Caenorhabditis elegans: one gene and its partners. The protein of the gene in region 1 interacts with the protein of each later gene in a pairwise test. Each region holds a gene or a part of one and is shown in the gene's direction. Other genes may lie near its edges.

What was found.
Region 2: the proteins of F57C9.4 (region 1) and sin-3 interact in a two-hybrid assay, tested with the Caenorhabditis elegans proteins (one large-scale study listed by BioGRID).
Region 3: the proteins of F57C9.4 (region 1) and ech-8 interact in a two-hybrid assay, tested with the Caenorhabditis elegans proteins (one large-scale study listed by BioGRID).

The regions. Positions count from the first base shown.
Region 1 is NC_003279.8:4,822,884-4,836,125, forward strand, and holds F57C9.4 (C2H2-type domain-containing protein), read left to right. Parts: upstream 1-7,256; coding exon 7,257-7,373; intron 7,374-7,426; coding exon 7,427-7,717; intron 7,718-7,762; coding exon 7,763-7,840; intron 7,841-8,349; coding exon 8,350-8,629; intron 8,630-8,945; coding exon 8,946-9,113; intron 9,114-9,161; coding exon 9,162-9,262; intron 9,263-9,310; coding exon 9,311-9,424; intron 9,425-9,470; coding exon 9,471-9,722; intron 9,723-9,765; coding exon 9,766-9,877; intron 9,878-9,928; coding exon 9,929-10,001; intron 10,002-10,050; coding exon 10,051-10,158; intron 10,159-10,586; coding exon 10,587-10,760; intron 10,761-10,807; coding exon 10,808-10,851; coding exon of another isoform or gene 10,852-10,901; exon of another isoform or gene 10,902-11,064; coding exon 11,065-11,151; intron 11,152-11,198; coding exon 11,199-11,517; intron 11,518-11,971; coding exon 11,972-12,062; intron 12,063-12,484; coding exon 12,485-12,646; 3' UTR 12,647-12,739; downstream 12,740-13,242. Other genes in the region: F57C9.6 (G-protein coupled receptors family 1 profile domain-containing protein), read left to right, coding at 132-250, 308-446, 749-946, 1,000-1,140, 1,844-1,928; tofu-4 (Twenty One u-rna (21U-RNA) biogenesis Fouled Up), read right to left, coding at 2,286-2,592, 2,638-2,754, 2,799-3,031, 3,076-3,183, 3,232-3,405, 3,451-3,750; htp-3 (HORMA domain-containing protein), read left to right, coding at 4,196-4,252, 4,303-4,456, 4,506-4,609, 4,654-4,766, 4,812-4,963, 5,013-5,106, 5,154-5,338, 5,383-5,747 and 1 more.
Region 2 is NC_003279.8:8,412,630-8,422,628, forward strand, and holds the start of sin-3 (Paired amphipathic helix protein sin-3), read left to right. Parts: upstream 1-4,201; 5' UTR 4,202-4,202; coding exon 4,203-4,877; intron 4,878-5,265; coding exon 5,266-5,552; intron 5,553-5,821; coding exon 5,822-5,978; intron 5,979-6,090; coding exon 6,091-6,393; intron 6,394-6,792; coding exon 6,793-7,227; intron 7,228-7,718; coding exon 7,719-7,853; intron 7,854-7,899; coding exon 7,900-7,998; intron 7,999-8,324; coding exon 8,325-8,717; intron 8,718-8,767; coding exon 8,768-8,887; intron 8,888-8,955; coding exon 8,956-9,056; intron 9,057-9,249; coding exon 9,250-9,438; intron 9,439-9,486; coding exon 9,487-9,630; intron 9,631-9,999. Other genes in the region: F02E9.7 (Tartrate-resistant acid phosphatase type 5), read left to right, coding at 663-737, 1,342-1,432, 1,895-1,996, 2,040-2,191, 2,252-2,601, 2,878-3,025, 3,072-3,193, 3,238-3,457. UniProt on the Caenorhabditis elegans protein: Probable transcriptional repressor required for the deposition of dimethylated 'Lys-9' of histone H3 (H3K9me2) on asynapsed chromosome pairs (both autosomes and sex chromosomes) during meiosis, but this does not seem to solely affect the transcriptional status.
Region 3 is NC_003282.8:10,233,832-10,243,854, reverse strand, and holds ech-8 (Enoyl-CoA Hydratase), read left to right. Parts: upstream 1-4,678; 5' UTR 4,679-4,740; coding exon 4,741-4,803; intron 4,804-5,334; coding exon 5,335-5,490; intron 5,491-5,540; coding exon 5,541-5,684; intron 5,685-5,732; coding exon 5,733-5,852; intron 5,853-5,897; coding exon 5,898-6,324; intron 6,325-6,651; coding exon 6,652-6,773; intron 6,774-6,819; coding exon 6,820-6,917; intron 6,918-6,972; coding exon 6,973-7,156; 3' UTR 7,157-7,229; downstream 7,230-10,023. Other genes in the region: tkt-1 (transketolase), read right to left, coding at 1-67, 119-239; lipl-7 (Lipase), read left to right, coding at 2,051-2,137, 2,191-2,293, 2,574-2,941, 3,309-3,790, 3,839-3,950, 4,454-4,531; ech-9 (Enoyl-CoA Hydratase), read left to right, coding at 8,545-8,607, 8,652-8,807, 8,856-8,990, 9,036-9,155, 9,202-9,628, 9,721-9,842, 9,888-9,985.

The DNA.
Region 1 (13,242 bases):
CGATTTTTTTGTCAATAACTATTTTTAAAACTGGGTCTCGCCACGATCTCAGTCACCGTGACTGGTACATGTGCCAATTTTGGCAGATTTCTTTTTAATTTTTTGCCTTGTCTAAATAACCTCCTTTTCAGATGCCGCGTACTCTGGGCAATTGTATTGAGCTGGCTGCTAGCATTCGTCCTCACAGTACTCAATATGTTGACGAGCACCCGACAGAGAAGTGTTATGATTGACACAGAATGTGAAAATGGTACGATTTCTATCTGAAAAAGGGATAAAAGGATTTTAATTGGATTTTTTTGTTCAGAAATGATGAGTGGAGCCTCGTTTTGCATAAAACATCAGGAGACGTCTTTGTCACATTATTTCGTGTTTCATATGATTCTCATTGCATTTTGTCTTATATGTCTTGCAATCACCGCCAGCTGCTACTTTATTCTCTTTAGGTATGAAATTCGTTTCGAAAAAAAAAAGTCTAAAATTCTGAAATACCGCAAAAAATCGGGAAAAAATTAGTCAAAGTACGAATAATCCATAGATTTAACAAAAATATATCGTGAATTCATAAAAGTATGACACTTCAGTTTAAAGGCACATGTTGTTTTACTGAGTGAGTCTCGCCACGATCCCTGCACAGGGATCCCTACAGGTTCCAAATTTTATAGAGACTTCATATGATGTAGATAATGAAGTCTAGAAAGTTTTAAATTCTAAAGTTCTATGCTCTTTTAATTTAAAAAATTTCCAGAATAATCACAAAACTTGTACGAGCCGATGTCAAATACCAAGCTGAAACTGATCTTCTGAAAGAAGATCATTCACACGGAAAATCGATTGCTCGTCGAAAGAAGTACGTGCTAATGATTGGAAGTGTCATTTTGGTATATTCAGTATATCTAACCACTTATGCAGTTATTCAAGGAATGCATCTTGTTAATATCACTAGGTATTTTTTAAATATCAAATCTTAAATAATAAACACGAATTCATTTTTTTCAGCAGAAGCAAAGGAATTCCAGTTCATGCCAGAAGTGGATACATTTTCACAAAATACACGTGTTATTTGTTCATCTCATTTCATTCACTTCTTCAGCCACTTTGTTTCATGAGAATGCGGGAATTTAGAAATATTCTGAAAAGGTATCGTAATTTCACAAGATTTTGACATGCCTACTTGAAGGCGCACGGATTAATTCAAATGGGTCTCGGCGCGCAAAAGTTTATGGTAGGCTTTTTGCGGCTCTTTTAATTTTTAACAGAAAAATGACAAAATTCGCTATATATGTAATAATTTCATCGAAAATGCAAGGAAGACAGCGGCGAAAATTTAAAAAAAACCACCATAAACTTTTGCGGGTCGAGACCCATCTGAAGAAACATATGCGCCTTTAAGAAGGCATGTGAATAAATACACGACATGTCGCGACATAACGAGAACACAAAATTCTGAGAATGCGTATTGCGCAAAATATCTCGTAGCAAAAACTACAGTAATTCTCTAAATTATTACTGTAGTGCTTGTGTCGATTTATGGGCTCGAATTTCGAAATGAATTTCTGTTCGAATTGTGACAGCGATTTCAACTTTCTTTACAATTAGTTTTTTCGTATCATTAGTTTTTTTGATTTTTTGCTCAATTTCAATATCTATAAATAATTTATTTCAAAACTCGGGCCCGTAAATCGGCACAATCACTACAGTAGTCATTTAAAGAATTACTGTAGTTTTCGCGACGAGATATTTTGCGCTTCAAATATGTTGCGCGTTTCTCAGAACTTTGTGTTTCCGTAATAACTAAAAATGCAATGAAACCACTGAAGAAGTTAAATCTTCAATTTTTCAGAACTATTTTCCCCTGCCTAACAAAAACCGATCCGATCTTGACAACGGATGTATTCAAGCGTCACAGTCAACCGACTGATATTTAATAACTTATTTCTTCCATCTCCATTAATGTTTTGTATCAAATTTTTCTGGTCGCTCCCAAGAATCTCATCGCTATTTTTCTATGAAACTTGATTTTCAAAATTTAAAAAAAGTTTTATTAAAAAAAAAAACATCTTACTAGAAAAGAAACAAAGAACGTATATAAAGTGTCGAACGATTGCGAAAAAGCTAAATATTACAGAAAATGTTTGGTCAAATACGGGAAAAAACGATAGATTATATTCTCACGATATAAATAAATTTGAGATTTGAGATTCTCAAACAACAGCTAGATGCTCTAAAATTTGAAACAAACAGAGAATAATTAAAACAATAATGTGACTCGGATAAAAATTCTTTTAGAATTCTGCGTCTACCATCAGATAGTCGAAGTCTTCTTCCTCCTTTATGGTTCCCTCGTCGCATTGACTAGTCAGGTCAGGAAGGCTGTACTGATCAATAGTCGACGGCTGCTCCGATGTACTTTCCACGTTTGTGTAGTCGATTGGAACATCTACATGTCCGAGCGATTTCTGCTTAATCCTTTCGCGAATTTCCTTCATCAGTTTGGAGTCTCTTTCCTGCTTTTTTGAATTTGCGACATTATTCAGGAACTTGATGGAAGACTCGTGAGCATTGAATGTGGATTGGAAGAAGACGAGATGGCTGAAAAATATTCTTAATCAATATATATGGTTTTAAAATACTCACGTAAATGGTTCCTGCCATAATAATTCGTCCGGATATTTGATGTCGTTCTTGTCAATAAATCCTGAATGTTGATTTTGAATTGAAGATCGACTGTATCCATGAACGGACTTTGGAGCACTGAAAACATAATATTTATTCATGATATTTCTCTTAACAATTACTTGTAGCTCGCGATCTTCTCCGAAAAAGGGTTCATATTTAGTTCGACGGCCTGTGCCACTTGCTCTTTAGAGTTTCTTGTTTGGTAGAAAGAAAATGAATGCGAAATAATATCCGCTTCATCCTCATCGGAATTGATTTCGTCTCTTTTTGTTGATCTGATTCCGATACCCATCCTTCTCATTGCTTTCCAATCGACTTCAGGATCGTCTTGTTTGATGTCACTTGTCAAAGACTGAAAAATTATTGCAAATATTTAAATTATAAATTCTTACACACCTTCAGAGTCAATCCTTGCTCAGCAAAAGTGTCACAGGTGTAATCATCTGCAAGTTCCAGGTCCGGTCTCTTGATGCGACGTCTTTTAGGGACTCCTTGAGGTCTGGTCTGCAAGAAATCATTTCTAAATTTCAACAACTAGCATTAAAATCCCACCATTTTTCTTCTATACAGTCGCCTTCTTCGTTGCTTCGGCATCGCTTGTGGTTCGTACTCACAAACCACGTCTTCAGTGTCTGAGACTTCCCCATCTAACGCTTTCTTTTTCTTTTTGAGAATCCTGTCGTTCTTCAACCCACGAGCAATTTTCTGCTCTAATTCTCGGACAATCTTAAAGAAGTTAAATCGATAAAAATTTTTTAAAAGGCAGCATACGCGTTCATCCGGTCGCTCGCCTTCGGAACTTTCTGCAGCATCCACCATCGAACTCTTGTGAGTCTCCACAACGTATTCATCATCACTCTCCTCGTCGCTGCTGCTACTGTGATCATCGTCGTATTCATTTTCTGAAAAACTCTTGTTGTCAGTGCCATCTGCCGATGCGGGCGGTACTTCGATCTCCAACGGATCCTCTACAATTTCTGTTTCAGGAATTCGTGATTTCTTCTCGGGCTGGTTCACTCCCGAAGATTCCGCATTTGCTCTTTTTGATGCGCTTCTCGTCGTCGGTTTCATCTGAAATTAATGTCTCATTATTAAATATAGAAGCTTAAAAACACAATAAATGAATAAGTAAAAAACGTTTATTTAAATTTTAAGTGCTTTCATCTGTTCTTTGCACATTTCAAAGCGGTTTCTAGACTCAAAATACATAGAGATATGCTCAGATTTTAATAAACTACAATTTTAAAACTTCAAAATATGAGAAATTCTCTTGAAAGTGCATTTTAAGTAGAAAATGAACGGAAAAAAATTGAAATATAAAAGAAAAAACTTAAAGGTGCATGACATTTCTTCCATGGGTCTCGACACGAGAACACAACATGTTGACCTGAGTTACGGTAAACTTCGGTTGAAATTAGTTATTTTATGTCAAATTATTCATTTATTTTTCAGTTTTTTCTCATTTTCAATTAGTTTTTAATTAAAAAAAATGTTTTAAAATATTTTAAGTGTCAAAATGGACGAAAGCTTCGACTCTTCTGTTGTCCCTGGCTCTCTGACGAGTGATGACAGGGTGAGTAGATTTGACAGAGTTTTTTTTGTCGAGAAAACGAAAATTTTCAGGCTATATTCAACGAGCAAACATTGAAAAATGGTGATGAAAATTCGAAAAGCTCTCTTGAAGTGATGGCCAACTGCGTTTATCTTGCAAACTCAACAATTCTCCGTGAACGGAAAGTTATTCCTGCGGAATACTTCCAGGATTTTCAAGTTTATGGTGAGGTTTTATCTATCTGACTTGCAATTAAGCATGAATTATTTTATAGGAGATGTCAGCGGATATACTTTGCGACAAGACATTCCAGAAGGACGGAGTGTGTCTTCGAAGCTTTTGGCGTCTCATGACGCGATCCGTCAGAAACTCCTTCAGGTACAGTTTTACTCTCGTAAGTGGTAAAAATTCATTGTTTGCAGAAACTCGCTATTGTCGTTGAAGAGTCACTAAACACGAATCCCGTGGAAACGTTTGTCTGGACCTTTGTCTATGACTCAACCACATCTGCAAGTGCCGAAATCGGATACGGAGGGTTAGATCATTTATCTAAATATAAATTTCACTGACTCTTTTCCAGGCGTAAATCTAAATTTGTGGTGAATTATTTAAACATGGATGATACTGCTCAACAGTTTTGCAAGATGTTCAGCGAGCTTAGAAATGTTCTAAGCCTGCTCCGTCCGCTACCAAGAGGCCTCATTCCATCGATGAAAGTAGCATACAGAGGAGGTAAGGTTAAAAATATTTAATTTAAATCATAAATAAATTATTGTTTTAGAACCGGAATTCGTTCCCGGATTTCAACAAGTCGACGATTTTGTGAATCCTGAGCAGATCAATCTTGGTGCTGTTAGTTTTCCTCACGGCAATGGGTTTGTTCGTCATTTCAATCATCAAATTCTTAATTAAATTGATTCAGATTTCAATTCGCATATGCCTCGAAATTCATGGTTGAACAGCCTTCAGCCATTCGTCCACCAGTGGAAGTTTCTCATTTTGAAGATGATTTGCTCAACTCAACGATCACACCGATCGAAGTTGTTCGAGATAACACAATGAATTGTGCTGAGAATCCTGAACTTGACGAAATCTATTTTTCACCAGGTGCGTTTTGTCGAGAAAAAAAATTAATTTTCTAATGTTTATAGGTCGTCAAGAAGTACGTATGGACGAAGATGTGGCAAACGAATCAATTCGTTGTAATCCAAGTATGGCCAGTGAAATGATGGTTCTGCAGTCCGAATATAATGTATTGATTGCTGATAATGATGAAGTTCCAATGGTTGTTGAAAGGGAACGTTCTCCAATAGTGAAAGCTGCAAAGAAACGTTCAACGAGAGCTCCCGCTGTCCCGATAACTCCAACGGAACCGGCTTCTCCCGTGGAGTCCCCGGTGAAAGAGCAACCTCAAAAAGCGCCAAAAGCTCAGATGAGACGTTCCAGTAAACGCACCACGAAGAACAATGAACGATGCGAACAGAAAGAAGAAGAACCAATAGTGAACCCAAAAAGGGTAATTATTTTTATTGTTATAATAAAAATGTTAAGTTCAATAATTTACAGAGAAGTGCTCGTCGGCTTGTACCTCCAGTTGAAGTCGATGAACAGCCAGAAGAACAAAATGATGATGATGCTCAGAATTCTCTTCAAATTGACTCTGATGCTCAGAATTCTCTTCAAATTGACTCTGATGCTATTATCACCTCTCCCGAGAAGAGAAATGAATCAAAGTCTGCAATACCTGAGGAAGCTGCGGATCTAGATAATACTACATCTGAGAAGCAGGAGAGCTCAACAGCAAGATATGGCGTTTCAAATACTTCTATTAACAGGAAAAAACCAGACCCAGTTGCAAATCCGGTTTCGGAAGAGGCTCAGGTAGATTTGGCGAACGGTAGTATCCCGGATAAAAGACCACGGAAGAGAAAATATGGACGAGTGTCGAGTATTCTCGACGTCGCTGATCTGCCAACTGACGATACAGTGGAGGAAGACGTTCGTGAAAGTCCCATCTACGGTCGTGTACCAAGTATATTGGATGTAGCAAGGGCTGAGGAGAACGATGCTCAAAATGATGCTCAAGATGCTCAAAATGAAATTGCTGTTGAGGGACTTGCCGACTTATCAATTGACACCGAGCAGCATGAAGAAGCAGCTCCAATTAATGTTACTGGTCATCAATCGGAGAGCGTTCCAATCATTGTGACGGAGCATCAGTCTGAAGAAGCTCAAACGGTTGTCACGGAGCAACCAGCAGGAGCAGCTTCAGTTATTGCTGCGGAGAGACACTACGGCCGAGTTTCGAGTATTCTCGATGTAGCTGGTTCGTTCGCTGACGTAGATCCATCAGGTGCCGCTCCAGCTATTGCCACAGAGAGACACTACGGCCGAGTTTCGAGTATTCTTGATGTAGCTGGTTCGTTAAGTGACGTAGATCCACAGGAAGATACCGAAAGCTCCACTCAAAACCAATCGACTTCCAAGAAATTCAAACCAAACCCTCCAAAGGCAATGAGGTACGGCCAGTCGCCGAACATGCCAAGTAGAAGAGGAAACTGAACGATTTCTGGACAATCGTGTACAATTATCAATCTGTTCCATTTTTTTGTTGTTTCTTCGATTTCCTTTTTAATAGTTGGACAAATGCCTTAGTTTTCGAATGAATTTTTTAAATATTAATTTTCATATCCGATGATGATGGGAATTTGTTAAAATACAAAATATTACTTGCATGTGATGAAATATTTAGAGCTATTCAAGTATTTTCCAGCGTTTCAGAATTCTTTCGTTGGCGTTCTTTTTTGAACATAGCGCCGTTTTCTTTCTCAAAGGAGCGCGGTGACATACACTTGTTTCCCTTTTTTCAGTGGCCGTTCGCTCTTTACTCTAATCGATTTCACTTTGGCATTCTGTTCTTATTCCAGCTAAAGTTTTTAAGAATTGTGTTTTTTTAATGAATTTCTCTTTTTGGGTTCTATTTAGTTCGCCACATTTTGAAAAAAATCAACGTTTTTCAGGATAAATGACATCATTAATCGATTCGAGGGTGCTCTACGAGAGTGATTTTTCCATTTTCAACGGTCGACTATGTTCTCTACGCATATCAGCTGTTACCAATAATGAAGAGGGTATTGAAAAAGTGAGATTAATTGGAGATATATTGATTTTTAAATAAAAATAATTAATTTTCAGATTCGAATAACGTCTCCTTCCGATGCTACAATTTTGCTAGATACATCGATCAGTTCTGACGAGTGTTCCAGTTTTATTGAAATTTTGAAAGAAATCTCCACGGCACGGAAAAGCGATCCATCGATTTTAGGACCACGGATTGAAACAATACATTCGGAAAATGAATATCCATTTCAAATGGTTATTGAACCGATTAACAGAGAAAAACATTCGGGAAAAACTCTTCCACTTTCTCATCCACCACCACAGGAACGATGTGATTATGTTCTTCAATTATATGCAAAAGAAAAAGTAAAACTAAATGGTCAGGATTTAATGAAAAAAAAAAAATTTCAGGTACAACACCAAAGCCAAAAAACAAAAGTGGAAGAGTTGACGAAGCAACTTCAACAAGCCAGAGTTGATTATAACACAGTGAGTTTGTGTTGTCAAAATATAGAAAATATTTTGATTCATATGGAAAATAAAAAAAAGCAATCGGCAACTTTCAGCCCATTTTTCCAATGTTCCAGTTGAAAAAAAAATTATTTTCAGATAATTTAAGTGATTTTCTATTATTTTAGACACTAATTTTCATTTAAAAATATTGGAAAACATGCCATTTTGTAGAATTGCCGCCCGCGAATAATTTTTTACAATTCTACAAAATAGCATGTTGCACCATGTTTTTCTTAAAAAATTATCGAGTTTTTTATATTTTATTTTTTAGAACTTTATTCGGTGCTTACGTTAAAAATAAATTTATTTTAAGATGAATCAAGTGGTCAAAAAAAACATATTCTGACATTAATTTTCAATGAATAAAAAAACAAAATCTTTTAATTTCTTCAAAACCGCCAAAAATATTGTATTTTCGCTTCTGAATTCAGATCTGAAAAGTACTAATTAATGAAATAATTAATCAATAACCCTATCTTTTCCAGCTAAAACAACGATGTGACTTTCAAGAAAAAGAAATTGCACTTCTCCGGCAGATTACAAGTTCCACAGGATCTGGAAATCGAAAAAGAAGTCGTGACGATTCTGAAACTACGCATATAAAAAAGCGAAGATGTGGATGTGGAGATGATGGAGAATCGTGTGGTTCTGATTGTGATGGAATGGATGATGATGAAGAAGATGAGACTGATACAGATGTTCAAATGTTTCGAGCAGCCACAGCTCAATTGCAAATGGCTGCAGCAGGAAGGAATACTCAAAATGGTAAGTATTTTGTCTGAACATTGACGAAATCTTCGCGTCGGTTTTCGATTCGCGGTTTTTTCTCTATTTTATTTTTAAAATTAATATTCTTCCCGTTTTTAATAATTCTCTCTGTGCTTTCCCTGTGTAAATATTTTCGTATTGACTTTTCGGTCAAGAAAATGAATTTTCAAAAAAAAACCACAAATTTTCAGACTAGTGACAGGAAATCGATGATGCGAAAATAAAAACAGGGAAGATACGGAAAGAATTGTTTAAAAACGCTGATGTAGGAACACGGACCACGTAACGAATATTTTAATCCAAAAATTTTCAGGCACCTCTTCACATCAAAAACTGAAACGAAAAATTCCAAAAAGTCAGTCGGTTTCTATTGGAAATGCTCGTGGAATGGTCACACTTCCCAACTTATTGCAACCAAAATTAGAAGAAAGTGACGACGGATATAATTATTCTGGACGAAGCTCGACTCAATCAAATATTGGTATAATGGTTTTTTTTTGAAAATTTCAAAAATTCGTACAATTTCCAGACAAGCTGGAGTTGGCGGTTCGTCGGGAGAGTATAGTAGACATCGGAAGAGCCGTCATTGATGGTATAAAAAACAAAACTCTAACTGAAAATCAATTGGAGGTACAGCTTAAAACTTTGAAAATTAAAAATTAGAAAGATTTTTTATAGGAATTTTGCAAAACCACTCACAGACCTAACATCTCAATTTTCCGATTCTACAAAGATTCGGAAGAATGCACCAAAGAGGAAAATGAAGCAATTATGATGGGACAAACTGTTATGGTAATTCGAATTTTTGCTGAAAAAATCTCAAATATGAATATTCTAGATGAAAATGTTGGATCCACAAGAAAAAGCAATCGCCGGAGTTCAAGCATCAATCAGCTCACTTTCAGCAAGTTTTGCGAATCAGACCAAGCTTGGACTGATCAAGCATCAGAGGCTTACTCGTTCATATGTGACTCTGCCTGTTGACTATTTCCCTTCAATCGATCTAACGGAAGCCTATAACTCATCTAATCTCTTCGGAGCCGACGCTACAATGCAGCTCACCAACTTCTACCAAACTGTGCTCAAAAACGTACGGCCTAGTTGCTCAATTCGAATTTTAAAGTATCCTTCAGGTTTTAAATCCGGTTTATATGATCTGGATCTACACATACCGGCCATCAACTGTCAGAACTTGTGACAAACATTTTGTGGAATTCCCTCAAAACGTCATTACCACGTTATTTGGTACTTGTTACAGAAATTCGAATTAATTTTCTGAAACTAATTGAATTTCAGATATGACTACCGATATTGTAGGCCTCTACCTTCCTGAATACTTACTCGACGGTGAAATTGACCCCATGGACCCGTAAGAAATTCAAACAAGTAATTTTAAATTTATTCTTAATTATATTCAGATTTCTTCTAACAATTGATGCTGTCGATCCATTTGAAGAGATTATGAGACGTCGTACCGAAAGAAAATTGGCAAACACTACATTCAATCATGCTCTTGGAAGAGCAATGTGAGGGAATCGTATTACGGGAACACAAAATCCTGAGAATGCGCATTGCGCAACATAATTGATGCGCAAAATATGTCGTAGCGAAAACTACAATAGTTCTTTAAATGACTACTGTAACGCTTGTATCGATTTACGAGCTCAATTTTCGAAATCATTTATTTTTCGATAAAATATTAAAATTAGGAAAAACGATAAAATAATACGAATAAACAAAGGAAAATATACTATCGCTGTCACTATTCAAAAATAAATTTCAAAAATCGAGCCCGTAATTCGCCACACTCACTACAGTAGTCATTTACCGAATTCCTGTAGTTTTAGATATTGTGTGCGTCAAATAGGTTGCGCAATACGCATTCCCAGAAATTTGTGTTCCCGGGAATTCCCGTAATAACCATTGTTCCGTGTTTAATTTAAATTTCAAACAGGAAAAATCTGCGGAGCTACCATTACGATCCAACAAGAGGTATTCTGTTGAATTGCAGTGAAAAGAAGAACTGCGGAATGCATTTACAATGGGAACAAATGCGAAAGTTCCGGGAGTACTGTAGGAAGGAAAATGTTGCCTGTGATGATGCGACTCCGGAAGAAATGATTGCTTTGTTAGTTTCGTCGAATTAAGGAATTTTATTAATTCAGGAATTTTCAGCAATCTCCGTGCATCTAAAGTACATTACGAAGACTATAGCCCTGGTGATGCATCTACATCGTTGAATAATATTAACCCGGCAACAGAAACTTAATTGATAATTTCTAAATTATTTTGTTTTTCACTTCACTTATTTACATCTCTTCTTAATTGTACGGTCTCGAGAATAAAAATTTTATTTCTGGTTTTAAAGGAATGAAATTTAGTGAAAATAAAAGAAACAAAAATTGAGTAGTTGCAAAATATTTAATTTTTAGGTAATGTTTCATCGGAAGAAGGAAATAAAAATGAAATGCCAAATTTTATGGAACAACTCGAGAAGTTTTCCAGTGTTATTGTAAAAGGTAAAGCTTTTTTGAGAGAAATAATTTCTAAAATTCAAAATTTGCAGGTCCAAACCTTCCATCAACCTCTACAATGAGCACAATGCACATAAAAATGGAAAATGGAAAAGAGCAATCAGGCCCTCTTCTACTACGAAATTCACCGAATGATCAAAATCAGAAAGTCGTTGGAGTTGTTCAATACGTAATATGTCAACTGTGTCCAGAAGAAGAACAAAAATCGATGGATTTATCGAATCAGAAGCAAATGGAAGAACATTTTCTGAATAAGCATGTTGATAAGGAGAAAAAGAAATGCGAAGCTTGTCCGTCGGATCAGTTTCAGCCACATAATATTGGACAACATTATCGATTGCATACAAATAGGTGAGAATTAGAACTGGCGTTTTTTTGGTTTTTTGATGTTTTTCATGTTTTTGAGAGAAAATCGAAAATCAAAAAATTGAAAAACGAAAATTTTCGATGTTTTTTTTTCGAAAAATCGAAAAAAAATGTACAGAAAATTAACCATATTTTTAAAATCCAATTCAGTTTATATTGATGAGAAAAAACATTAAAATTTCATCTAAAAGAAGAAAAAGACCAAAGTTTTAATCAAATTTTTAAAAATTCGGAAAAATGTCGGAAATATCGAAAAACGAAAAACTTTTGATTTTTCGTTTTTTTCAATCGAAAATGTTTTTGTAAAAAATTAGTTTTTATCAAAAAATCTAAAATTTTCCGTTCTTCGATTTTTCGGAAAAAATCGGAAAAAAAGACAGCTCTGGTGAGAATACAGATTTTTTGTTTTAAATTAAAATTTTAAATTAATATATTTCAGTGTATTTGCATGCGAGCATTGCGGCAAACGAGGACGTCGGAATTTTTTGAAGACCCACATTCGAACACACACTGGTGAAAGACCATACAGAGTGAGTTATACATTTGAAAATATGCTTCCCAAATATAGATCGATCAGGGAATTTTTTATTGATAAAATGTTATTTTTAAAGTTTTGTAAATTTTTCAAAAATTTTGGAATAAAAGGCTAAAAAAGGCTACAATTTAGTTAGATCCAAAGTTTTGCAGACAATGATTATCACAAAGAAAATTCGACAAAAAAAACAAAAATCGAATTTCTCAAAAAAAAAACCTTTCAATTTTTTCTTTTACAATTAAATATTAAAATTTTTTTTTACAAAATAAAATTTAAGTTGTTTAAAAAAAAAACAACATTGTTGACATTTTTGAAAAAAAAGGTTCTTACTACAATACCACTTCCAAGGCGCACTCCGTTGTATTTTGAATCGCCTTCCTGTGAAAAAAAAATTCAAAATTCTCTCTCGTATTTCAGTGTGACACATGTTCGAAATCGTTCACCGATGCCTCAACACTGCGTCGCCACGGACTTGTGCACACTGGTGAAAAGAAATATCAATGCCCGGTGTGTGGACGAGCGATTGCACGGAAAGATAACGTTAAAGCTCACATTCGAAGTCACGGAATTCAAATTTAACGCTTTTTTATTGTCTATCGAGGTATTTTTTGAGTGGAAGCGTTGCTTTTTTTGTTTTTTGGAAAATATGTAATAAATGTATTTGCACCATCACTTGTTTTTTCTTGTTCGTTTTTTGGTTTTTGCACCCTTATTAATGTCTCTAGTTCCTACAGGCATGCTTTTTTATCTAATCTAATCAAAATTTTGGAATTTTATTTGGTTTTTTGCCCAAAATCACCAAAAACGGTGCAATAAAACGAAAAGTTTTTGAAATTTCCTAAGTTTTAGTGTTTTTACAATTTTTGAAATTTAGAAATATTCGGCCATTTGGAATTTTTTTTTGCGAAATTACAAAAAAAATAATTTTAAAAATTTAGAAAAATTTTATAAATTTTTACAGTTATTTTTCAGTATATTGAGACTGTTCTCTGACATTTTTGACAAAAAAAACCTACAGACGCCGTTAAAATCGAATTTTTGCAAAAATTTTTTAAAAAAAGTTGTTTAGGATTTAAAACTTGAAATTAATTTAAAATTATCAAATTTAAAACATTTAAACTAATTTACATATCTGGCAAAATAATGTATATAAAAATTTTTTGAGAAAATTTTAA
Region 2 (9,999 bases), 3.6 Mb from region 1:
GAGACCCAAAGCAAGTGAATTGTTGTGTGCCTTTAAAACTACCGTAACCTGGAAGTTTCAATTATCGATTTGTTTTTTAGAATAATTGTTTATTTTGATTGATTTCTCGTATTCACATTCATTTTTTAAATATATCTCCGATTTTTTTCAATCTTCACACTCTCAATTTCACATCATAGACCAAGCATCAAAATTAAACAAAAAAATTTAGGCCAAAACCCCAAAAAACTCCCCGCAAAACCGTTTCTTCATTTTTTGATCTATAACCCAGACGCAAAGGAGCACGCGTGCTATCTTGCGGTAAGAACAAACATAGTCAGATAAAAAACGAAGTAAAAGAGAAGAAAAGGTGAGAGACGCCGAGAAACAGACATTGTTCGTCATTCTATATTCGCTCAATAACACGCTCACACATCCAGTCGTTATCTTCGGAAAATATCTGGAAAATAGAGAAATCGATGCCCAACTTTTGAAAATACTCATTTAATTGCGGAACGCTTAGTAATTTTTCTCAAATCTAAGAAATTACTCAAAGTTTCGAAATTGTTTGAATTTCCTTCCACCGATGTTTTCCTCAAATTGATAAATAATTGTATAAAAATGAATAAATTTTTATTAATTTCAGGTCAGAGCACCCTCAAGCTTGAAGAGTTTTACCGAAAATGCTGCTTGTTGATGAAAAATTGGAAAAACGCAGTAGCTCGTCATCACTTGATCGATTTCTTCCTGATCTTCCAGTAAGTCTTGCATTTTAAAAAATCAATAACTTAATATAAATATATAAAAATTTCAAGTAATTTTTGCACGATTTAGCTTAAAACATTTTTTTTAATTATTGAAAATCATTGACAATTCGATAAGCTTGCATTTTCTTCCTTCTCAAAATTTTCTCACGATTAAAAACATGAGATAAAAATAAAATAAAATAAAGTTCCGATGAATCATAAACTTCCCAAAAACGACCGATTTGCATAAAAAAAGGGTATCATTTCATGAAGTTTTATCAGTTTATTGTGGTTATTGTTGCCCTCTGAAAAAACATTCAAATTTTATATCAAAAACATATTTTTAAAAACAAAATTTTAATATTCCAACAGATAAAACTAGTAAATCTCGAATTGTTTAAGGCCAAAGAGTAATCCCTTTTTGGAAATATAAGCCTTTTTAATAGGCTTATATTCCAATTCATGACAAATCAGTTCCGCTTGACTATTCTCTTTTTTTAACTGCCTAGTATTGTTTTGAAATTTAAATTTTCTAGAATTTCAGATTACAAATGTTTTTAACACTCAATAAGTTGAATTTCTCAAAAATCTTTTTTTTCAAATAAATTTATTTCAGCAAAAAGTGAAATCTCGACGGAAAATGCGAAAAATCATGTGTTTTGTGGGACTTTTCGGCATTTCGACAATCTTCTTCATTGCAGTCTCCAGTTGGTTTTTCATGAGGGATTTAGGTGGTTTTAGAGTGCACTTCTTACTAAATTATTAATTTTATCCTAATTTTTAAAACTTTTTTGTTAAAATTTAATTTTTTTCTCTCGAAAGAACGAAACATTTTTGTTCTCCGATTTTTAAATTAAATCGAAAAATCGACATCTTTTTTTATAATTCTGAAAATAAATACACATTGGGACTTTTCAACTTCACTCCGAACGAATCCGACTCACTGATTGATTCAGAAGTGGGCGGAGCAGAGTGTCGATTGGTGGTAGATCTCATTTAGAAGAAATGACATTTTAAAAGTTGAATTTTTTGAATTTTTTTTTCCAAAAATTTCTACTTTGTTAGTTTTTTTAGTTCAAAAACCCTCACTAGCACATCTAACCTCACCTACCCGAATTAGCTCTTGACCCAAAATTCAAGTTAAATCTCATTTTATTTTATTTTTTCAGACATTTCATCGTCGGAAGATGTTCCGCTTTATAATGGAAATATTTACGATCCGGAAAGAGATTCAAAAAGTTTTCGAATTTTGTTAGTTGGTGATACAGGAGGTATAAAATGATTTTAGAAAAAAGTGTATCTCTAGTAATTCAGGAATTCCAATATTGGAGACGACTTGGGCACAAAATGAAGTCAAACAGACAATGGCATCATTAGCAGATGAACATAGTGTTCAAATGATATTAAATATGGGTGATAACATATATTTTACGGGACCCACTGATGAATTTGATCCAAGATTCGAGGTTTGTACTTTTTTTTAACCCAAAATTTTAGTAAATCCCTCTAAATTTAAAATATTTCAGTCACGTTTCGAAAATGTCTACACGAATCCGAGTCTACAAGTTCCATGGCTCACAATAGCCGGAAATCATGATCATTTTGGAAATGTGACCGCCGAGATTGAATATACAAAACATAGTAAAAAGTGGTATTTTCCATCACTTTACTATAAGAAATCAGTAGAATTCAATGGTACTTCTATCGATTTTTTAATGATTGATACAATTTCCTTATGTGGAAATACAAAGGATATTCAAAATGCTGGTTTTATTGAAATGTTACGTAATGAATCACATGATCCACGTGGTCCTGTTAATATAACTGCCGCTGAAGAACAATGGGCATGGTTGGAGAATAACTTAGAAGCAAGCAGGTTAGGAATTTTGGATTTTTTCAAAAAATGACCTCGCCACGACCTTTTTGTAAAATAAAAACAGGTATGCACCTTTAAAGTACTGTAATTTTTAACTCTTGTTGCGGAATTTTCATCTATTTTTAAATTGTTATATTCAAGATTAAAAAAAAAGGCGCACATTTTTGCATTCAACAAAATTTAGTCGTGCCGAGACCGTGCATCTTATGCCTGGCCCAGAAATCGGAAGATTTCGCTTCTGGGTAATGGAAATTTATTTTAAAAATCCTCTTTCAGTGCCCAATACCTAATAATTTCTGGTCATTATCCTGTTCATTCTATGTCATCACATGGTCCAACTGACTGTTTACGTCAACGTTTGGATCCACTTTTAAAACGATTTAATGTGAATGCTTACTTCTCAGGACACGACCATTCGTTGCAGGTTTACCTTAGTAATTTTAATTCAAATTACTTTATAAATGTTTCAGCATTTCACTTTTCCCGGGTATGGAGAGCATATAATTAACTATGTTGTGTCTGGAGCAGCTTCTCGAGCAGATGCATCAACGAAGCATATTAAAGAATTCAGTAGGGATACGTTGAAGTTCAAGTGAAGATTGAAAGCATTAAAAAGTAATTTCAACAAACTTTCAGTTATCCGGAAAAATCATGGTTCTCGTGGTCACCAGTTTCGCAGCTCGGATTCCGTAAAGGCGGCTTAATATATGCAGAATTTGGACATTACAATGCTCGACTCGATTTCTTTGACAAAAGAGGAAAACAGCTTTATTCGACGATCATCCCCACACGTGTGATCCCGACGGATACATCGACACGATCAACTGCCTCACCGTTTGTAGAAATAGGAATGTAATTAATTATTTAAGCAGTTGAAATTCAATTTTTTGAATATTTATTGAACTCCCTCATAATTTCATGTATAATATATCTTGAACGGGTTGAAAATAAAAATTTTATTTATTTGTTGGGCTCTAAATTGTAATATTTAAATTATTTTTTGAGCTCCGCCACCTTTTTAAAGGTTATTCAGCGTACTTCGTTAAATTATATTTCCGGAAAATAAATTCTCTGCGTCTCTTAAGCTGTATGCAAACGCGCTCTGAAAGGCAAAAGCGAGAGAGGAGAGGCAGCAGAGAAACGAGCGCCATTTTCAATACTTCACAGGATTTACGAACAAAATGTTCTTTTTTTTGTTAAAATTTCAAAGTGTAACGTTTTTTAATCATACAAACATTTACTAACAATATTCCTATCGAATTTGAAAACTTTGTAACATTAGAAAAACAAAAATTCTACTGTTTCGTAACAATGTCTCATTTTAATCAAAGACTAAAGTTTTCTCAACATTTGAAAAAGAATTTAAGTAAATTTTCTTTCGATTTTTCAGCTATATACGGTTTTCAAACTTTAAGTTCAATAATACAAAATCAAATGATTGATTTTTAAAAAAATTGAAACTGAACGTTCAGCTTGAAACAGCGTTGGAAATTTAAGGATGTGCTAAAAAAGCAAATCAATAAAGAAACTTATTTTTGTCTCTTTTCTCTATTTTCTAAAACTTCTCACTAAAGGTAACTTTCCAAAGTTAGATTTTCAGAATGTACAATCCACCACCTGGAGGCGGCGGTGGCAACAATGGAGGAGATCAATCTCAACAACAACCTACAAATAATGCGACGTTGTTTTTATTACAAATGATTCAACAATCACAACATCAACAACAGCATCAGAATCAACAACAACAACAACTGGAACTTCAAATACGTGATCAAGAGCGTATTTTGATAGAACAACAAAGAATGCAACATCAACAACAACAAAATCAACTTCTTCAAGGACTCAATCAATTTCCATTTAATCCTTTAGGATTATTTCAAGTACAAGCTGCTGTTCAAGCAGCTCAGGCACAATTTGCACAAAATGCTCAAGGTTCTCCAATTCCTTTTCATATCGGTTCTCCACTTCAACCATCACATTCACCAGCAGCTTCTGCTCTTCAGCAACAATATCTACTACCATCTCATTCACCGGCAATAACCCCATTTGCTAGAAATAGTGAAGCTGCAAGAAATATTGAACAATTTATTGCACAGGAAGAGGCTGCAAATGTACCAAGGGCCAACAGTCAACAACAATCTCCATTGATTCGTCCGATTCCACAGCAACAAGCTTTGAATATTCAAAATCTCACATCGACTCAACAGGCACAACAAATCCTGGCCCATCATCGTCAGGTTCCCGTTCAACAAGTACAGCATCAGCAGCATATTCCCGTAAATATTTATTTGATTGAAAATTAAAAAATGTCTGAAAATTGGAAGGTCTGAACCTTTCTTTATAGAAAATTATATTTTAAAAAGTTAGAAAGTACTGTAGCGCCAAACAATTTGTCCTTCATTTCTGCTTTCCCGAAATTCGCAAACCTAATATTTCTCAATTGAGCTCAAAAAATAACAGAATTACTTTTGTTTTTCAGCATTTCGTAAGTTTTTTGAAGAAAATGTGTAAAAATTTGAAGTTTAAGACTGTTTTCAAATATTAGATGATGATATTTTATCAATGAAATGCATGTCTGAACTAAAAAAATTTATAGCAATTGACAATTTTATATTTACGTCAATTTAACAATTCATTCCGAAAACCAATAAATCTATTTTTCAGACTCCTCCACTAGCCCTTCCAATTGCTCAACAAGGACCAATTTCTAATGAAGTTCCTTCAGTTCCTCCAGTTGTTCCAGCAACTTCTGCAGGGTGTCCTCAACGTGAGCCTCGTCAACAACAAGGTGGCCGACGACAAAATCGTCCAGGTCGTCGAAAGAAACCAGAAGGTCCACCACGTGTTGATGAAGCTCTCGCCTATCTGAGAGTTATTAAAAGTACTTTCTCATCTGATGTACCCGTTTATCATCGATTTTTGGAAATTATGAAGGATTTTCGTGCTCAGAGGTAATTCTGAAAATTTGAATTTTATTTTTGAAGGTTGAAAATCAAAAAAAATTGTTTTGGTTTTTCCGGGAAAACAAATATTCTTAGATTTACAAAAAACTTTAAAAAAACATTTGTTTTGTTCAAACATAAGATAACATAATTTACTTGAAAAGGCAAAAAATTTCAAGCTATCTTCCGAAATATCGTAAAACCGACACATTTGATGCGGATTAAATTTTGCTTTATTTAAATCCAAAAAAAAAAACAAATATCTGTCTTTTTTGCAGAATTGAAACACCTGATGTGATTGAACAAGTAGCAGAACTTTTATATGATTCACCGGAACTTGTTCTTGGATTCAATACTTTTCTGCCAACTGGATATCGTATCACATTGACTCCAGATCGAAAATATGTTTTTTCTTCGCCACAAATGCAGCCAAGGGTTCGTTTGGATATTTAGATTATACTAAAAATCTGATTTGAAAATAGTTTTAAAAATCCAATATCCACACAATATTGTTTTGCCTCGAAATTAAATTACAAAAAATTTGAAGGTTCTGCTATCGCCTGACGAACGCCGAGCCCGTGCAATTGAAGCTGGAGCACAAGCTGTAGGAGCAATTGAGTTGGGTTCTCAAGAAGGAATATCAAAAGACGAAGACCGTACAATTGAAGATGAAGATATGGATAAAAGTAAAGAAAAAGATGATGTAGATGGAATTGATGATGAAGATGATGAAGAATCTGGAATAGAAGATAAAAATAATGAAGAAATGATGGAAGAAGATAATCATTTGATTGAAGAAATTATTTGTGATGATAGAAAGAAGGATGATTGTGAAGATTCACAACAAGAGGTTTGTGTTGTTTGTTTGAAAACAAAAAACTTGAAGGTTTTTAAAATATTTGATTTTAAACATATCTGAAATCTTCTTTGATAAATTTTAAAAAAATACATACCAACGTTTTCAGATTTTTCTTCAAAAATAAAAATCTTCTAAAATTTTTACTTTTCTGTATTGCCTTCACTGATAGTTGCTGGTTTTCCCAGTTCTTCAACGATGGGCGATTCTCTTGCTCGTTTGAGCTCTATATCTTTCTTTGTCCTGGAGTGTTTACTGTAGCGAAACATTGTTGTCTTTTCAGTACATTTTCTTAGCTATTTATTATTGTATATCAAACTTCTGCCTTCACAAGCCATAATTGATCTAGAAAACATGTAAGTGCCATGTGAAAAATTTAAAAATCGTTTTCAGATCGAAATGTCAAGTGAATTGGCTGCTCATACACTGAACATAATCGAACTTCTCAAAAAATCGTTTCTGGCTCGCCCGACGAAACTTGTTGATTTCATGACGTTCATTGACTTCTTCATGAGTGATCAACAATATAAAAAAGATATGGAAAAATTGAGAAAAGATGATGAGGATGACGAGATTGAAGAAAATGAGAAAATCGAAGTTGATGATGTTCCAGGACCATCCAATGCACCACAAGAAATCAAAAAACCTGATGATATTGAGAAAAAAGATTCATCGAAAAATCTGCAAATTGAGGAATCGTGCTCAGATTATCTTGTCTCAATGCTTGCTAATTGTTGTATTGGAGAACCTGATCTTCTTGCAGCAACTATTGATTTTCTTCCATATCTTGGGAAACTTCTTGTTAATGGATCTGATGCGATAGCATTGGTGAGATAATGTATCCTATATATGATTTTTCATAATAATTAAAAAATATTCTGAAATTCCGAAATACCAAATGAAACACGAAAAAGCGAGGAATAATGAAAAACCACAACTTTCCAAATTCAAGAATTTTTCGTTTTTTTGCATGATTTTTGAATTTCAGAATATTTGCAGTATTCTATAGAAAATTTCCCATTCACGAAATTGCGAAAATTTAAAATTTAAAATAGAAATATCTAAAACAATTCAAGTGAACTATCTAATTTAATTTTCAGTTTTTAATATTTAAATATATTTTGAAATAATTAATTAGAAAAGTAGACTTGATATTTGTTCATCGTCGAAAAATATCATAGATCAAAAAAAAATCTCAATAATCATGCAATTTGCCCTTGATCTACCAACCAGTTTTTGTAAACAAAACGCCTTTTTCGTTTTTGAAAAAAAAAACTATCATTGCAAATCAATATTTTTAAACCTTTTTTCTTTTCCAGAAAATCAAAACAATTCTCCATTTCTCCGCCACCAACGATCGTAACGATATTCCACCTGTAAATCGTGTAAATCCATCCGATGTCGACATGGATTTAGTGAAACAAATGGAAAAATGCAAAATGGGGACTAAAAAGGTTTGCTACTCCTTTTAAAATTAAATAAAATGATTAAAAATTTCAGAATGAAAAACTGAAACTAAAAGTTGCTGGGCAAGGCGATGAAGGAGCAACCGTGGAATTGATGATACTCAAGAAATCATACAGAATTCTTTATGAAAGGGTTTGTTTTAACGGTGGAGTAGCGTAAATGGGGATTTCGATTCAAAATCCAAATTTGTCAATAAAATCGCCGAAGACAAAAATATTAACGGTAATCGGCGATCGCCGATCGCCGTGTTAAAAATTATTATCGGAAAAAGTGTAGAAAAATTACGTCACACATGTATTTAAATACTTGAAAACAGGTGTGACGTAATTTTTCTACACTTTTTAATTTTCCAACACTACTTGAATAACCCCATAACCCATTAAAACAAAATCCAATTCAAGCCACTCGCCCTCTAAAAGTTTTTATCATTTTGCTTATTCAATAAACTTTATTTTCAGCTAAAAAGTCGAACAACACCGAATCAACTGTCTCACCTGATGGTTTTGATAAATGCCTACGCAAATTTGGATATAACCCGAGAACAATTGATTAGTGAACTTCCAAAGATCATGGGAACATCTGGTTCTGATCTTGAAATGATTATTCTCCAATTATTGGGTGCAGAAAAAGAACCAAAAAATCGACCAGAGAATGATATGGATGCAGTTATGAGAAAAGATTTACCTGCCATTCAACCAAAACGAGGTCTTCGTGATCAAAAAATGTTGCAACAAGTGAAGAATGTTGAAGCAGCAACAGTGTGTACACTAGGTCCTAGTTATCGATTTATGAAGGATACGAAAGCAACTGATTGTAGTGGACGTGTTGAGCTGGATGATGATCTCAAAGGAGTATGGAAAATTACACAAATTTAAAAATTTTATTTGAATGATATTTTCAGGTTCTCAATGATACGTGGACATCAATACCATCATGGTCATCTGAAGATACTGGTAGTCAGGCGATTAAGAAATCGAATTTGGAAGAATTTCATTTCAAAACCGAGGATGAACGTTATGAGGTTTGTTTTTTTTCGATGTGAAGACAATTTAACAAATATTCAATTAACAAGATTATTTAAAATTTCAGCTTGATATTATTGTTGATTCAAATCGAACTGTCATCGAACAATTGTCAAAAACACTTCGAGATTACGAGGCGATGAGTGATGAAGATAAGAAGTCGTTCAAGTAAGTATTCAGATATTATATCTACAAAAATACCACATAAAATTGAAAAAAAAAATTATCGAGGACCTCTTAGAAAGGGATTCTGCTACACCGAAATTCTCTGTCCGAACTTCCGAAAATTATTTAGAAAATATCAATTGTTTTTTGAAAACGAAACCGAAAATTTGTTTTCATTGTAAAAAGTGATTTTCAGATTGGACAAATGGCTCAATGCTTCATCTCGATCCACCACAATTCGTGTTCTAGCAAAAGTCTTCACAAACTCTGCTCAAGATTTCATTGATGCTGCACAAAAGAATCCACTTGTAGGTTTACGACGAATTCTTGAAAGTCTGAAGGAGAAAGACTTGCTGTGGAGTCGATTCCAACAGGATACTAACAGGTTTTTTACTTAATTTCCCTCAAAACTTTCTAAAAATATCAATTCTAGAACATGGAGAGACGCTTTGGACAAGCAAATGTCGGCTGCAACGACGATTTTGAATAATCAACACAAGAATTACGATCAAAAAGCGTTCAAGTCGAAGCCTCTTGTTAATCAAATCGAACAAATCTGTGAGGAAAGACGGAAAAAGTTTGTTTTTTTTTCTTTAAAGGTGGAGTGGCGTTAATGCTTAAAAAAAATCCAAAATAGTCAAATTCAGAAATACAATCAAAGAAAATCGAAAGGAAAACAAGAAAAAATTGGAATGCCAATTATTAAAACTTTTTTCGATTTTTTAATTGTGACCTAATTGAATTTTTTCCATAATGAGATCTGCGACCAATCAGCGATTCGCTCCGCCCATTTTTGAACCAGCCAGATGAAGTGTGCAGAGTTCGAAGATGCTGATTGGTTACAAAGTTGGAGTGGATTCTTATTCTGGAGGGAATTCAAACAGGGAACTTAGCCAAAATTTAAGATTTTATTTCTTTTGCGAATTTTTCCGTTTTTCTTCGGTTT
Region 3 (10,023 bases), on another chromosome or scaffold:
GATGCTGATTTTGGCTCTGCGACATCGTACTTCATCTCCGAGAAGAACAGAGTTGACATAATCTCGGCTGAAAATGTTGAAATTTATCGGATTCGAGTAAATGTTGAATAATTCTTACCAGCAGACGTAGAAGACGTGGGATGTCCACTTTTGCTTGCGCAAGTCATCTCGATCGAGGAAATACGCATGCGGTTGGCAGCGTCTTCCAAATCATTGCGAAGTTGCTCCGAAACGGTCATTCTCCTGCAAAAATAATGGATTTTTGGGAGAATGTTAAAATTTTCAGAATAAGAACGGCAAAGAACATTCTCGAAGAAAATAGTGAATCGTCGGCCGTTTCACACAGGGAGAGACATACACCTTATCGTTATCAACTAGTATCATTATCATCTCAACGCACCACCATTTTCTTATCTATTATTTACTAATGGTACCACTGCATAAAACAGGAGACTGGCCGAGAAAACAACTCAAAATTCAGGCAAAAATTGCAAAGTGTTGGCAAAAAATGTCATTCTAAAGAACACCGGGCAGCGCAACGTTAACGTTTTCATCTTCGTTTCTGTACTTTGAATAAATAAAGAACTGAAAAGACAGGCCTAAAAATGTTTTTCTTGGACATATAAAATCGTGGAAAAAGACACCGCTTTCTTCTGCGTTGAAAGTATGAAAAGACAATGTCCAAAAAACCCAACACGCGTTTCATCACAACGGAAACACTAACTTTCTAGTGAGACGCAGATGTTCTGAAGGAAATTTTCATTAAAATGGAGATCCAATGACTACAAAATATACCAGTATATGAAAACAGTGACAATTCTCGATCGTTGCGCACAAAAAAGAATGTTTACCGACTAAAACAGCGGCGCTCTCGAGCGCTCTCTGATTTCTCACAAAAAAAATGATGAAAACTTTCGCGGCCATTGTGTTTTCTAGGCCCCGCGTTTGAAACTTTTTGGCGCCAAGGTGGAATCTCGAGAAAGTATCGATATCGGTATTTAAAATATGAGCTAACTTATTGTGCGTGGGGAAAGAAAATATGCTCTTAATAGGGAATTTATTGAGAAAAAAAGTTACGAAAATCTGTTAAAGAAATGCGGAAAATAAAGAAAATAAAAATTGGGGTTAAGTAAGTAAAAGAACCCGAATGAGCGTTCTCGCCTCCGGCGAGATATGCAGAGAAAGGAAATCAGAAACCACGCGCTGTCGCAAATTGGGTCAAGATCAATTCTTCCATATTTGATCTACCGAAGTTTGTAGGTCTAGAAGTGGTCTAGAAATTCTGATAATGTGTAGAAACGAATAATCGGGATTTCTGGAAAGAAAAATGCTAGTATTTTTAATTAAATTGTTATAATAAAAAGAGATGCAAAAATCGAACTTATTATATTTTGTCCTAAAAATTTTAAATCCCAAAAAAGTTACAGCATAGAGTGCAATTTTATGATTCACTATTTTCAGTCATTAATTTAAACAAGTACCACATAAAACTTAGCATAAAATAATTGTTCATTGTTAACTTGAGTACTCAAATATCACGTGGTGTCAGAATGTCCCATTTCGTTGTGATCTACAAAAAATGCGGGAGTTTAGACGTAGAGTTCTCAACTGATTTTGAATGGTTAAGAACGTGCTGACGTCACATTTTTTTGGGGAAAAAATTCCCGCATTTCTTGGAGATCAAACCGTTACAACCTGACACCACGTGAAATATAAGTATGAGGGAGTGTGCCAAGCAAGGGTTACTGTAGCTATCGTCATAAATATTAAAACCTAAATGCCATTTTAAAAAACCTAAAATGTGAATAGTTTTACATGTACATTTACAATATCTAGATTGAAGATGAATTTTAAAATAGAAAACGCGAAATTTGTTCATTTGGTGTTTTAATCTATTAAAAATACTTCACTTGTAATTGAAAAGTACCTAATCCTTGACCCCAACATATGTTATTGACATGTCCAAGGTGGTAATTGTTACAACAGGTGTGACCCAACACTCATCCTGTTGCTCTGCCATATAACCTCTCCTCCCAAGGTTTTTTGATTCATGTCAAAAATCGATTTATTTTTGATTTTACTCTCATTTTCTATAAATTTAAGTCTAGCTATTGACGATGAATGTTACATGACTGTGGTAAGATTTTGAGAAAAATTATTTTATTAATCTCAGAACAAATTTTTTTGTAGCCAGAAATAGGAAAACACTTTGGGTATGAATCAGAAGTACATTTAGTGAGAACAACGGATGAGTATATTCTGGAACTTCACAGAATCCCATGTAAACAAAATGGTAAGTCTGTCATTTTAGTTAAAAATGTGACATTTGAAAATTAAATTTATTTCGTAAACGGAAACTTCAAAATGAAGTATCGGCAGTAGAGATTTTGTACAAGTTTTCTCATTGATTTTTAACATGGCCGATTAAACAAAATGAATAATTTCAGATTTCTCTTTGTTCCAGTATTGGTAAATTTCCAAACTGTCAACAAAAAAAAGAAGTTTTTGAATAATTTAATATACATTGAATTTTGCTGTGAATTACCTTTGATATCATCTCTAATATTTTTCAGAAAAATGTGACAGAAGCTCAAAACGTCCAATAGTATTCATGCAACACGGCCTCCTTGCGGACGGATTCTCTTGGATTCCGAATCTAGCAAATCAATCGGCTGGTTTTGTTTTCGCCGATGCAGGTTTTGATATTTGGATTGCAAATAGCCGTGGAACTCCTGCATCACAAAAACATATTGGCTATGGACCGGAAAATCAGAAATTTTGGAATTTCACGTGGCAACAAATGTCGGAATTTGATTTGACAGCGAGTGTGGATTTGGTATTGAAGGAGACAAAACAAGAGTTTTTATATTATTTGGGACACTCACAAGGAACTATGATTATGTTCTCAAGACTTGCAGAAAATCCAGAATTTGCAAAGAAGGTATTTCAATTTATTGCTAGACACAGAGAATTTTAAAACAAATCTAATTCGTTTCTAATTATAATTAGTCAGACAGTTTTTCGGCACCCGTGCGATGAAGGATGTATTTGACATGTTTTTGTATGACTACTCGTATTATGGGGTATTGTAGTTACAAACAGTACATTTTGTTGTGACTACTTATGTAGTTGCCGTAATCCAACATTTGTTTCTCAAGCTCATGCTTTGCACAAAATTGAAAATCACGATCAGTATATATTTATAGTTTCTGTATGCTAACAAACATTTTCTTTGTAGAAAGTTACATACGATCAGTTAATATGCTTTTAGTCTTTCTTTACCTCCTCAAAAGCAACAATAATTTAAGATTCGTCATTTCCATGCATTGGCTCCAGTTGCAACAGTATCCCATATCGGTGGTCTATTTGGATTGTTTGGGACAAAGTTTCTAACTTATGCAGAAATCTTGCTCGGTCGACTTCCATACTCTCCACTGTCAATTCCGCGAACTGTTCAAAAAATGATAAGTTACATGTGCAGCAGATTCTTTATGCAAAATATTTGTACATTGGACATCGGTTTCATTGATGGAAATGAGAAAATGTTCAATCAATCAAGAGTTGGTGTATATCTTTGTCATACACCTGCAGCCACTTCTGTAAAAGATTTGCAACACTGGATTCAACTTGTCAAATCACAGACTGTTTCTAAGTTTGATTATGGAACTGATGGAAATATCATTGAATACGGGCAACCTACTCCTCCGGAATATGATTTGACACAGATCAACACACCAACTTATCTCTATTGGAGTCGTGACGACATTTTGGCTGATACTCAAGATATTCGGTTAATCAATTATATTAGTTTTGATGTAACTAAATGAATGATTTGTAGAGACTCGATTCTGTCAAAAATGAATAAAACAATCGCTGGATCACTGGAACTTCCACACTACAGTCATATGGATTTTGTATTCGGTACGCATGCTGCATTTGATTTATATCCGGTAAGTCTGAAATCAAATTTCCTACTGAATAATATCTTTTCATTAACGTTAGACCGCGCATCTGTAATATTTACACTTTGTCAAATTTTGGTAAAACCTTTTGATTTGGTTTTGATCAGGCCTTGGTAAAGACTTCATGTGTGCGTTCTGGAAGGTTAAAAAAAATGAAAGTTGGTGGGTCAGACTTAGGTCACCTCATATTTGAAATCTGTAACACGTTCCGAGCAAAGTTTGACCAATTTCTGGCCAAGGTGTATTCAAAATGTGGTCACTCTTTCTAGACATTGAACAGAAAACATTTGAAAAGGAACGGCTTCTGCAGAAATTCTCTCTAACATAAATTAATAGAGTTCCAAAATATTTCAATTCCTTATTTTCCCACTTTTTCGTTTTTGAGCAATGGTCCAAATTTTCCAAAATGCCGGGTTTGGTTGTTCTTAATGTTATATTCTTATTTTTGAAATTACATAATAAGGAGTTATTTAAAAACAAATTTATTCCAGAAAATCATCGAAACTATCCAAGATGACTACAACAAATATCGAATCACTCGGATGCACAAATTGAAGAAACATTTATGATTTTTCATCGATTTTTTTTCAAAAATAAATAAAACCGTGTTTTATTGTTGTTTTAATGGCCAAAATGTACCTATAGGCTACAATGTTCTTCTTATCAATTGATCGCTAACGTGGGACACATCTGGCATATATCAATGCAATTTCTTTAGATCTTTTAATTCGTTACAATTGGTTTTATTTTGAAATTTAGATTTTTGAAATTCAGAAAAATGGATAAAGTGCCACAAGCAGTGAGGGACTATTTGATGGAGGCTCATCAATTGGCGGCTCAGGTAACTTTGAAAACTAAAATAATAAAGTTTTTTGAATGAGAAATTAGTTATTTTCCGCTTTTCCGTATCCGTGGGCACTCTGTAGATTTGTGAATTGTTTGTTTTTGGTATTTTTCAGTGAGGGAAGACCACTTTTCGGCAGAATTTTGAATTGAGCAATGGTAGAAATCACTAAAACGATATCGTTTATAGTATATAGAGAACAGAAAATAGCTGAAGTTACAGATTTCGATTTCATTGATAATATAAAATATTAGTTCATCCGGCAAACATCGGAATAATATTTTTTTAAAGTATTTTTCAAATATCGAAGAGCACGACTATATGATTCAATGGCAAAATTCTAAGTTGTGGTGAAAAATAATAATAAACAAGAAAATCCCTTGATTAGTCAGTTGCCAAAATTTTTGAAGAACTTGCTCGAGAAAAACGCGCATTTTTACACTTTGCAAAGTTTTTCAGCATTCAGCTTTAACAATATCTGAAAATCACAATTTTTTTACATCAGAATATGAAAATTGATCATTTCAGTGGTCTCTTCCAAATGATCGCGGTGACTACATAAATTCGAAATCAATTCCAATCAAATCAGTGGCTGTAATTGGAGGTGGAACCATGGGAAGAGGAATTGCAATCGCATTTTGTTTATCAGGATTTGAGACGTATCTTGTCGAAGTTAACAATAAGGTAGCCATAAAGTTTAAAAATAATATCAATTCAGTTAAACTTGTTTGCAGGCTGCCGAATTCTGTAAAAATGAATTGGAAATCACTTACAAAAGGGAAAAAGCATTTCGAAGACTGAACGATTCAAAAGTTGAAAAATTGAGAAAAAATCTACAGATAACTACAGATTTTCAAAAGCTAAATAATTGTGATTTGGTGAGTTTTTGTTTTTATTTTCAAAAGAAAAAAAAAGAAAAATTTCAGATTGTAGAAGCCGTTTTTGAAGATATGAAACTGAAAAAGGAACTTTTCACTAAACTTGATAAAATTTGCAAACCATCATGTATTTTTGGAACCAACACATCAAGTTTAGATTTGAATGAGGTACGCTTTAAGTTAACTATTCCAAAAGAACATGTTCACTTTCAGATGTCATCAGTACTTAGAGATCCAACAAAAGTAGTTGGAATTCATTTTTTCAATCCGGCAAATTTGATTCGAATGGTTGAAGTGATCTACGGATCGAAAACTTCCTCCAAAGCAGTTGCTACAGCTTTTGAAGCATGTAGATCTATCAAAAAGCTACCAGTTCTTGTGGGAAACTGTCCAGCATTTGTATTTAACCGGCTACTTGGAGTTTATCTGAATCAGAGTCAAAAGTTGATGTATGAATACGGATATCTTCCTCATCAAATTGATAAAATCATTACAAACTTTGGATTCCTAATGGGTCCTTTAACAGTAGCTGATATGAATGGATTAGATGTAATGGAAAAGTTGAAAAAGGAGAATGGATGGCCAGCAAGTGATTTTGAAAAGGAAGTTTGGAGACAAAAGAGATACGGTAGAAAAACAAGTACGTCTTTAAATAAATTGTGAAATGAACTGAGAAACGGATAATTTCAATTTCTTTGGAGTATCACCAGCGGCAAATAGTTATACATAGGTTAAAAAACAAATACCTTCGCTCCGGCTATAAGAAAAGTTTGAAATATTTGACAAGCTGAAGTCTGAAATTTTTAAAATATTTTTTCAGTGGTAATGATAAGTGCCAATCAAAATTTTGAACGTTCCAGAAGGAAAACCGGAAATTATTGTTTTCAATTTATTTTTTCAAAATGAAGATTTTCAAAACTGTCACGAAAAGCCCAATATTTTTTACCAATTTAGGTGTAATTTTCAGATAAGGGATACTACAAATATGATCCAAATACTCACAAAAAGGAGAATGATATAGAAATGGAGCAGCTCATTCGAAAATTTTCTTCAGCTGCAAGTCCAAATATACAAATTTTGAACGATCAGGTACTCACTTTCTAATTTCATTCAAATTCAACCGAAAACTTACCAGGATGCCGTCAATTTCCTCTTGTATCCCATGGTCAACGAAGGTCTTTTGTGCATTGAGGAAGGAATCATCCATCATGAAAGTTTGATCGATATCATGTTGTAAGTAAAACTTAATTTCAAAAAAAAATTAAAATTATGAGCACAATTGTTTCAGCATTCTCGGGTTTGGATGGCCTGTTGCTACTGGTGGTCCGATGAGATTTGGATGGCTTCAAGGAATTGAAAAAGTTGCGAGCACAATTATTCTCTGGAATTCTTTAGAACCAAATGATAGAACATACAAAGTTGCGGCCACGTTGCAAAATGTGGACAGGAAGAATTTTGCAGCGAAATTATAAATTTTGTAGTTCGTTACCATGTTCAAAGAGATGATTATTGTAAAAACATAAATAAATACCCTGTATACAATTGATCTACTATGTACAAGAAATGACATGCTGGGGATTATAAATTTTGTCGAAAGTTTGATGCAAATCAATCTGCAAGACCAATTGCCCATCTCTAATTCTGAAAATTAAAATGTCTTCTGTATTTTTTTGGATAAACCCCGTGAGGTGCACAAATAATAATTATAAAAATAAAAGTACGGTACATTTAGCGAAAAACGGATCTTGAGACATTCAATTGTACACTTATCATTATTATCAGTAACATGGATTTTGTGGGCGTTTTTCGTATTTCAACCGGACAAGCACTGTCATATGAAATCAACCCTTACTCTTAGACATTTGAGCTTGAAAATTGATAAGAAAGTGGAAGTAAATGTTGCCTTACAGAATCACAAAAATCAACATAAAGACTGCCTTGCTGAAATGACGTTTTGTATTAAAAAATATTACTGATTGTGTTGGGATTAAAAATTTGATATCAAAACGAAAAATACTTGGTAAATAGGTAGAACACACATTTTTTCAAGAAAAAAGTGTTTCCTCTGGTGCTCGATATGACCGACAATAAACTTCAAATTTTTAGCTGTACTCTGTAGGGCACAATAATTATATTTAAAAATTTCAGTTCAAGCCAACTTCTGTACAAAATCCACCTTTAAAAAATTTCAGACAACACTTTGTTGAGCCCTACCAGAGATACGCGTCCATCTGCATTATTTTTCAAAAAAGTTGGCGATAGTTTTTTGTTCGGATATCGTAATAATCTCACGATATGCTGCGCTATGAAAATTGGATGTTTTTCAAAGTATCAAAACAAGTTATAGCCTAACATCTTAATTTAGTAAACAACTCCAAATAAATCACATATGTATGTACATATACAGATAAGAAACAATAAACTATACACAGAAATATTCACAAGGCACATGTTTGCACTTGATTTTTGAATTATCTAGATCTAGACGGAATTTCGTGTTTTACTCTTAAACAAAGACGACAGTGTACTGAAAGCACCAAAGTCTCATCAGCTCTTATCATCAATGAATCAACAAACAGACAGTGACAACATCGACTAGATCATTTTCTGTCCGGGAACTTCACGGACGAAATGTCGGGACAAAATCCTCTTTGTTATCACTAACGAAATATTTGGAAAAGTGGGCAGTAAAAACGTGATATATTACAAATGAAAAGTACCTATAAAAGGGTGGTCTGAAAACTCTGAAAAAATATTAACTGTATCGTGTTTAAATTTTTCAAACATTTTTTAAACTTGTATAAACAATGTTGTTCAGCCGATTAAATTTTTATACTCCAGAATTGAAAACAATCAAAAAATGGGCAAAGTTCCAGAAGAAGTCAGAAGCTATTTGATGGAAGCTCATTCCTTGGCGGGACAGGTGATTTCATTTCCAATTAAATTATTTGAATTGTATACTTCCAGTGGTCTCTGCCAAATGATCGAGGTGATCACACGAATTCTGAAGCTTATGATGTAAATTCCGTAGCAATTATTGGCGGTGGAACTATGGGAAAGGCAATGGCAATCTGCTTTGGTTTAGCTGGAATTGAAACTTTTTTGGTAGTACGAAATGAGCAGGTGATATAGATCTTTAAAAAAAAACATAATTTGTATTTTTATTTTCAGAGATGCAAGCAAGAGTTGGAAGTTATGTATGCTCGGGAAAAATCATTCAAGAGATTAAACGACAAAAGAATCGAAAAAATCAATGCAAATCTGAAAATAACATCAGATTTCCATAAGCTTTCAAATTGCGATCTTGTTTGTTAAATACTTTAACGACATTTTTTAAATGTAAAATTGTAGATTGTTGAATCAGTAATTGAAGATATGAAATTGAAAAAGGAACTATTCGCCAACCTCGAGAACATCTGCAAATCAACTTGCATTTTTGGAACAAATACTTCAAGCTTGGATTTGAATGAGGTAGAGCCTTAATTTTGCGAGAAATTGCTAACTTTAAAATCTATAGATTTCATCAGTTCTCCGCGACCCAAGCAATCTTGTTGGAATTCATTTCTTCAATCCTGCCAATGTGATTCGATTGGTTGAAATAATATACGGATCTCATACTTCATCACAGGCAATTGCAACTGCTTTTCAAGCATGTGAATCAATAAAAAAGCTTCCGGTTCTTGTTGGAAATTGTAAATCATTTGTATTCAACAGGCTTCTTCATGTTTATTTTGATCAAAGTCAGAAGTTAATGTATGAATATGGATACCTTCCACATCAAATTGATAAAATTATCACGAATTTTGGATTTTTGATGGGACCAATGACTGTTGCCGATATGAATGGATTTGATGTAATGGAAAAGTTGAAAAAGGAAAATGGACTTGAGCCGAATCCGATTGAAAAGGAAATGTGGAGACTGAAAAGATACGGACGGAAAACTAGTGAGTGTATTTTTAAATGATAAATTTATCAAGTTTTGGAACATTCTGTTTTTTATGGGAATCTTTGGAATCCGTACAATTTTTACTTTTAGACAAAGGATTTTACAAATATGACGATAAAACCCAACGGAAAGAAAATGACACTGAAATGGAACAGATTATTCGTCGAGTTTCTCAAAATGCCAAATCTAACATTCAAATTATAAATGATCAGGTATTACAACTATTAACTCGAAATTTCAGTTAGTGATTGTTTCAGGATGTGATTAATTTTATGTTGTATCCTACTGTAAATGAAGGTTACCGGTGTATTGAAGAAGGTGTTATCAGTAATGAAAGTTTAATTGATATCATGTTGTAAGTGATATCATGTAATATTATAAGTTGACCGATAG